Ovis aries: one gene and its partner. The protein of the gene in region 1 interacts with the protein of each later gene in a biochemical or structural test. Links are inferred from orthologs where the notes say so. Each region holds a gene or a part of one and is shown on either strand. Other genes may lie near its edges.

What was found.
Region 2: the proteins of BLNK (region 1) and CD79A form a complex in vitro, tested with the Homo sapiens proteins (2 studies listed by BioGRID). The link is inferred for Ovis aries from reciprocal best matches to the Homo sapiens genes BLNK and CD79A.

What each region holds. Positions count from the first base shown.
Region 1 is NC_056075.1:17,382,444-17,386,251, reverse strand, and holds part of BLNK (B-cell linker protein), read left to right. Parts: intron 1-764; coding exon 765-928; intron 929-3,808. UniProt on the Homo sapiens protein: Functions as a central linker protein, downstream of the B-cell receptor (BCR), bridging the SYK kinase to a multitude of signaling pathways and regulating biological outcomes of B-cell function and development.
Region 2 is NC_056067.1:50,930,023-50,934,414, reverse strand, and holds the start of CD79A (B-cell antigen receptor complex-associated protein alpha chain), read left to right. Parts: upstream 1-1,303; 5' UTR 1,304-1,328; coding exon 1,329-1,404; intron 1,405-2,779; coding exon 2,780-3,073; intron 3,074-3,296; coding exon 3,297-3,415; intron 3,416-4,304; coding exon 4,305-4,373; intron 4,374-4,392. UniProt on the Homo sapiens protein: Required in cooperation with CD79B for initiation of the signal transduction cascade activated by binding of antigen to the B-cell antigen receptor complex (BCR) which leads to internalization of the complex, trafficking to late endosomes and antigen presentation.

The DNA of each region.
Region 1 (3,808 bases):
TACCAGATGAGTAGTTGCAACCCTGCATATACCTTAGAATAACCTGGGGAACTTTTTAAACCTATAATGAAAGGTCCTTCCCTAGAAGTTTTAAACTGCATGTTTGCGGTGGGGCCTTGGCATTTTTTTTAAAGCTCCTAGGTGGTTCCTAGGGGCTTCCCTTGTAGCTCATATGGTAAAGAGTCTGCCTGCAATGTGGGAGACCCAGGTTGGATTCCTGAGTCAGGAAGGTCCCCCGGAGAAGGAAATGGCAATCCACTCCAGTATTCTTGTCTGGAAAAATTCTATGGATGGAGGAGCCTGGCAGATAGAGTCCATGGAGTTACAAAGAGTCAGACATGACTTAGCAACTAACACATTCACTTTCACAGGTGGCTCCTATGTGTAAGCAGGATTGAGAATCATCACACTTAAGGCTTCAGGGAGCAAAGTGAACCCACTGAGGATTACTGCTCCCCTTAGCCCCCGACACTGCCAAGGTCACCATCTACTCTATTTAGCCGCATGCTTGGACTATCAGCTCTCCTGGGTCTGTGGGTTTCATGGCTCCCTGGGAGGATACTGTTCTGGTTTTTATAATGTAGGTCAATGGGTTGTTGAAATTGTTGCCTGTCATACTTTTTAAAGGAATGCCCCAGTCAAGAGCATGTTGGCTACATGGATGCTGGTAGTTTTCTACTTTCTAGAACTCGGTGGCTTCTGCCCAAGAAATGATCCAGAACCCTTTCATCTTATGTTTTGTTGTTCTTGCTGTTCCTCTCAAGACAACCGATCAAGCCAGAGGCAGTCTCCACCCTTCAGCAAGACTCTTCCCAGTAAACCCAACTGGCCTTCGGCAAAAGCGAGACTGGCCACCTCTCTGCCGGCCAACACTTCACTGCATAAACCTCAAGTCCCACCCAAACCCAAAGAGATCCTTGAGGATGAGGTAAAGTAAATCTGTCCGGGGAAGGCTGCCCAGACCACGGGGAAGGCTGGACGCAGGGGCCAGATGAGGGGAGGGGCAGGACAGTGTAGCCTCAGATGTGTCTTCCTTCCTCCAGGCTTGGGTCTCTGACCGGCCCTAACCACCTGCCCTGAAACTCTCCACTGTCCTGCTGAAAGGATGTTTTCTCTTAAAATGTCACATATGGCCTTATTTAAGCACTTTCATGTACTAATCAGGTATATGATGTAATATCCAACCTGGATTTGTGCCCCTCTCACTATTTCCTCTTTCTTATCCCTCCGTTTCCTGCAAATCTCTCATTCCTCCATAAGATACTTCCCCACCTTTATCCTCCCATGCTTCTCTCCCTGTCCTGCCTCATGTTCTTTCCCCCACTTTCTTTTCTCTCTGATCCTCTAAGCTGCAGAGGGGTGCAACAGGATGTATACTGGAGACCCCCTGTCTGTATGGAGACCCTGCACAACCCGTGGAAGAACTGACCCCGCACTTCCTTCGGCATCTCTTGCTTCTCTCTCTCTCTCCCCAGCCCCAGGTATCCAGGAACCTCCTTTGCCAACTGTCTGGGACCCATTTCTAGGTTTATCTTACCAATATCCCTTCTGCCAGCACCTAAATTTTTCATGTCTTATTCCCTATGAAATTTTAAAAAATGAATGGGTGAACTTATTCGGACTATTGTAAGAATGACTGATAAAGCCTAATACGTTATGGCTCCCAGAAGTACTGCATTTAAAGAAAGTCAAAGACAAGCCCTCAAACTTAGCCTTTAGAACATTTGTACAAGTGCAATGGGCTTCCCAGGTGGCTCAGTGGTAAAGAATTCGCCTGCCAATGCAGGAGATGTGGGTCTGATCCCTGGGTCAGGAAGATCCCCTGGAGTAGGAAATGGCAACTCGCTCCCGGATTCTTGCCTGGGAAATCCCATGGACGGAGGAGCCTAGCGGGCTACAGTCCATGAAGTCGCAAAGAGTCGTACATGACTGAGCGACTGAATACACAAGTGCAACAGGCTAAGAAAGAAAACAACATTAAAGGCAACTCTTAACCATCACCAGACATAATGGTACCGCAGCTTCTTGAAGAAGCAACTGTTTCTAAATGCCTATGGGTGATAAAACCTATAGCTTACAAACATGCTGTGAAATGACCTTCTTTTCCACCTTAGCATAATTTGTAGCCCAACAGGAGACATAAAAGAGAGACTTTTAAAATAAAATAGAGGCAGCATCCAGGCCCAAATTCCCACTTCACATTTACTAGTTGTGTGACTTTAGGTATCAGATGGAGAAGGCAATGGCAACCCACTCCAGTACTCTTGCCTGGAAAATTCCATGGATGGAGGAGCCTGGAAGGCTACAGTCCATGGGGTCGCTGAGGGTTGGACACGACTGAGCGACTTCACTTTCACTTTCATGCATTGGAGAAGGAAATGGCAACCCACTCCAGTATTCTTGCCTGGAGAATCCCAGGGACGGAGGAGCCCAGTGGGCTGCTGTCTATGGGGTCGCACAGAGTTGGACATGACTGAAGCGACTTAGCAGCAGCAGCAGCAGCAGCAGGTATCAGATAATCTCTCTGAGTCTCATCTTTTCATCTCTTCAGGTTCCTTTAAAGATTTAAGAAAGGAATATAAATACTTAATTCAGTGTCTCACACAAAGAAACATTCTATGTATTGCATAAACTGGATTCCTTTCTACCATATTCTAGATTCTTTATAAAATCTACTTTTCTAGTTTCTCCTGAAAACCAAGGGCCTGTCAACACATGGCCAGTCATGGCCTCGAAGCAGCTGAGCCTCATGGCACCCTTCCAGCTCAGCTGAGAATCCCCGGCCCCTGTTTCCGTTTGTCATCATCTTCACCACTGACACAAGGCGTGGACACAGCCTGACTCTGCACACGCCCAGTTGCTATTCCGTGCCTGCCTGTAAGCACTTGAGCTTATGAGCCCCCTCTCCAGGGACAGTTTAAGTCAGGAGGTCAGCAGACTGAGAATGAATTTGGTTTGTCAATCCTCAGTCTGTCTGTCAGTCCGAGGGGATGATGCCCTTTCAGGGTGTGAACAGGTGGCAAGGAGAATCTGAGCATGGGACACGGTAGGGAGACCATCGGTTAGGGTCTCACTGTGAATTCTTCCAGCATTCAGAGGGTCTATAGGAAGATACCAACTCAGACACAGAATACAAATGAAGACTGTGAGTTACGTGAGGCTCTCCATTTCTGTGAATAACTGCAGGTGGACCCCAGTGGGGATAGGCCGAGTTTTGCTAATAACAGCTTTTTGGTGGTGGCTCAGGCAAGTCTGAACCAGCGGGGAAAGGGGACGACTGGAGGAGATACATTCTGGAATGAGGAGATGGACAATCAAGATGAGGAAGAGTTAAAAAAGAAATAGAAGACAACATTAAGATCTGGCCAAGACATTAGATAGGAAAGGAAGAAGTCAAATACAAGCACAAATAAAAGTGTGTAGCTCTGCCATACAGGTTACAGGCAAAATATGGGTTACAGGCTGAGCAGAGAGTTGGGGCGAGGGGTGGAGGAGCAACTGCCCTGTAATGACAGGAGGGTCTAGCACTTGACAAGCACTGTGTATCGGCTGGTGATCTGAGCCCTCTGTGTGTATTATCTCATCACACCCTCAGAGCAACCCTATGAAGTGCATGCTAGTATCACCCCCATTACAGAGGAGGAAATGGTACAGATGAGGTGACGAGGGGTTGAAGAACTTGTCCAAGGTCAAAGAGCTATATGCTAGAGCCAGCATTTGGACCCAGATCATGAGATGCTAGAGCCCAGGTGCTACATGGCCTTCCTGGACTACCTCTCCAGCATCCGCTGACAAAAGACCAGCCCTT
Region 2 (4,392 bases), on another chromosome or scaffold:
CCTCATCTCTTAGATTAAAAATGCTGAACCTCAGGGACTTCCCTGGTGGTCCAGTGGCTAAGACTCCATGCTCCCAATGCAGGAGGCCCAGGTTCAATCCCTGATCAGGGAACTAAAACCCACATGCCACAACTTACGAGAGTTCACGTGTCGCAATTAAGACCCTGCGCTGCCACATAAAATGATACATATATATATTTTTAAATGCCGAACCTCAGAAAGGAAAGCCATCACGCAGGCACAGAGTTGGTGAGCCTGCCTCATCTATTCCTCCTGTGTGTATGTTAGTCGCTCAGTCGTGTCTGACTCTTTGGGACCCCGTGGACTATAGCCCACCAGGCCCCTCTGTCCATGGACTTCTCCAGGCAAGAATACTGGAATGAGTAGCCGTTCCCTTCTCCAGGGGTTCTTCCCGCATCTCCTTATATGTGTGTGTGCATGGGATTGAACCCTTGTCTCCTGCATTGGCAGGTGGATTCTTTACCACTGAGCCACCAGGGAAGCCCTTATTCCTCATAAGCATTAATAATAACCGACCTTTACTGAGCACCTATCCACGTGCCGGGGTCCTGTGTTCAGCGCTGTGCATGTACAACCTCTTTTGTTGGAGAAATTCTCTTTTCCAACCCCAAGAAGGGAGGACACAGAGGCTTAGGGACTCCCCATGCTCCAATGGTTAAGAAGCCGCCCTGCAAGGCAGGGGACGTGGGTTTGAGCCCTGGTCAGGAAACTAAGATCCCGCGTGCCATAAGGCAATAAGCCCATGGCCACAACTAGAGAATCTGTGTGCCCCAACGAAAGATCCCGCATGACACAGCAAAGATCTCATATGCTGCGACTAAGACCCAATGCAACCAAATAAATTAATAAGTATCTAAAAAAAAAGAAGTGAGGACACAGGCTCGGAGAGGGGACAAGTTTTGCCCGAGGCCAATGAGAGGCAAAGACCAAGCTTGGAACCACCACCACCCTTGACTGCCTGTGTGCAGCAGGCCCCCCAAACCCTGGCTCCCTCGAGCAGGGCGGGTTTCCTTTCCAGTGACGAGCCAGGCCTTGAACCAATCTCTTCCCCCCACCCAAGCAGCCTCCTCTCAGGGGAGTTGTGGTGGCCACAGGTGCAAGAAGCGGTTCCTCTCCACTCACGGCCTGAAGCCTCCCCCACCAGGGGCTTCCCCCTCGCCCGCCAGCCAAAGGGCCCAGCAGTGGGGCCAGTGAAGCCCGTCTCCGCAGGGCCGGGCAGGAAGTGGGGCGGGGTTTGGGGCTCAGCGAGGTGGGATCTGGTACCCCAGGACTGCTGCAACCCAGACTAACCAACCCACTGGGAGAAGATGCCTGAGGGTCCCCAAGCCCTGCAAAGCTCACCTGCCACCATCTTTCTCCTCCTGATCTCCGCTGCTGGCCTGGGTATGTGGTTAGCAGGCAGGTGCTGGGGGAGGCGGTAGTGGGAACTGGGAGACTGTTGAGAGGGGCCCCAGGCAGAGGGGGAGGGAGAGGAGCTGGCAGGAGGCAGGCTAGAAAAGACCCTGTAGAAACTGCATCTGTCTGCTTGATTGTCTCAAACAGGCCGGTGGGAGGCTGGAGGGGGCTCAGCGAAGTTGAAGGTGCGTCCTGGCCCGGTGGAGGGAGGCAGGGGCAGGAGACACCTTCCCCAGCCGCTCATCCCCCCTGATCAAAATAAGGAACTAAGGTTGCCCTTGACTGACTGAGCTCCAGAGCTGGGGGCAGGGAGGGGACGGTGGTGGGTAGCAGTCAGCTTCAAGGGGGAGAAAAATCTTTCTCCTTTTCTGCCTTGAATCCTAGTCTTCACCCCCTACTTAGGGAACCCCCTTCTCAGTGCTGGGGGAGCAAGTGACCTTCCCCCTTGCCCTCCCACACAATGCCAGCTGGCAGGGCTGTGACCACCCTGTTTGACCAAGGAGTTGAGAGAGGCATCCAGTCACCCCAAATTTCCACTGGGAGCTGAGATTGGAGTGACTCCTCAGGTTGCTGTCTCTTACCCCACTTCTTCCTTCTTCTCTCTTCCCCACCTCTCCCCTCCTCCCTCCAAAAGAGGCAGAGCCAGCCATGCGGACTGGCCCAGGAGGAGGGGCACAGAACTGGGCCTTCCCCCGTGCCTGGGCCGCCCCATCTCCTTCGACCCAGCTGAGGCCCTCCCAGCCCTAACCAGCCAGCTCAGCCCAGTCCCTGACCTCACCCCTGGCCCCCAGCATGACACAAGCAAGCCAAGGAGAATGAGGGCCGGACCCAGGGTCACAGGGCAGGGCAGGCTCACAAACTGGCGAGAAGAGGCCCAGGGCCAAGGGACGCCTGCTGCTGTGGGTCGCAGCTGGCCCACTGGTAGAATGGGTTATGACAGAACCGATTCCTATGGGTTCTGTGATAATTACACAAAGTAAAGTGCCAGTGTGGAGCCAGGCAGGGGCTGGGTGAGAAAATAATCCAGGAGGGCCTTCAGGAGGAGGTGATGCCCAAACTGATTTTGTAAGGAGCTTCCTGGCCTGGGGCACTGCTAGTCCTAGGGAACTGCCTATTCAAGTGCCAGCGAGCTCAGAGGGGGTAGAAGCACAGAGCAGGGGGCAGAGGGAGGAGGTGGCTCTGGAGGGGCAAGTGGGGACACCTCCCAGCCCCCCCTCCACTCTGGGTGTGTCACTCACACTTCCCCACACCCCACCCCACATACACATACACACACGCAGCCAGGAGCCCTGCAGCTACCAGGGGCCGCGCTGGGTCAGTGTCCCCGTTGGCTGTCTCCAACCCGCCTGCCTCCTCTCTGCAGGCCCCGGGTGCCAGGCCCTGTGGGTGGAGTGGGGCCCACCCTCGGTGACGGTGAGCGTGGGGGAGGAGGTGCGCCTCCAGTGCATGCACAACGGCAGCAACACCAACGTCACGTGGTGGCGCGTCCCCCAAGGCAACTCCTCATGGCCCCCTGTGATGCATCGCGGGAGCCTGGGTGCCGGGGGCGAGCTGATCTTCAAGCAAGTGAACAAGAGCCACAGGGGCATGTATAGGTGCGAAGTCAGTGACGGCAAGAAGATACAGCGCTCCTGCGGGACGTACCTCCGCGTGCGAGGTGAGTGTCCATCCCGTCCATCCGTCGGGAAGGCGGGATGGAGCCCGTGCCGGCATCGCCTGCATCTCGGGCATCCTGGGTCTCCGGCTCTCACGCAGCGGCCAGTCTTCTCACCTGCAAAGCGGGAGCGGCTTCCAGGGTCTTGGGCCTCGCTGGAGGGGGCGTGGCCTAGGGGCGTGGCCAGCGGCAAGGTGGGGCTCTGAGCCGTATTCCCTCCTCACAGAGCCGCTCCCCAGGCCCTTCCTGGACATGGGGGAGGGCACCAAGAACAACATCATCACCGCTGAGGGCATCATCCTCCTCATCTGCGCCGTGGTGCCTGGAACGCTGCTGCTCTTCCGGGTGAGCCCGCCCCCCAGGCCCACCCCGCGGGAACTAGCGGACCCCCAAGAGTCCCTCCCGCCTAGAACTTGGCAGAATGGCAGCGCCCACCTCCCAGGCGCCGAGGGCCTAAAAATTTAATAGAATGAACGCATTCAAACTGTGCTGGGACCAGAGGGGCGTCCTTGCTCAGTCTCCCCTCAGGGTTGTCTTCACCTCTGGCCCCAGGGATGCCTCACTGGTCCCTCTATCCAGGAGGGCTGTACCCTTCAGATGTAGCCCAGGACGGGGAAGATGGGAGCTGGTGTCATCCCGGATGTCTGACCCCCACCGGAGACTCTGGCATGCCTGTGGGTTCAGCCGCTAAGCGGTGTGTCTGGTTCTTTTGCGCCCCGTGGCCTGTAGCCCGCCAGGCTCCTCTGTCCATGGGATTTCCTAGGCAAGAATACCTGAGCTTCCACAGTGGCTCAGCAGTGAAAGAATCCACCTGCAATGCAGGAGACGTGGGTTCCATCCTTAGGTCGGGAAGATCCCCTGGAGAAGGGAATGGCAACCCACTCCAGTATTCTTGCCTGGAGAGTCCCATGGACAGAGCCTGGCGGGCTACCGGCCACAGGATCGCAAAAAATGTCAGACACAACCGAGCGACTAAAACAACAACAAATGCTCTTTAGGCCACAAGACAACTATAGCCACTTAGTATTATTGCTCTCACTATTTGTGGGGAAGAATAGGCAGTGGGGACAATCAAAAGGACACTGGCTTGGACCCAGAGTGGCCCGCCACTTACAGGATATGTGACTCTGGGCATGTCCCTCAACTCCTCCTGGCCTCCACGAGGGTCTGAAAACACGATCTCTATCTGCCCGCCCTCCGCCCCCACTCACTGAGGCTCCCCATCCCACAACAGAAACGATGGCAGAACATGAAATTCGGGGCTGATATCCAGGATGACTACGAAGACGAAAATCTCTACGAGGTGAGTGGAAGGTGGGGGC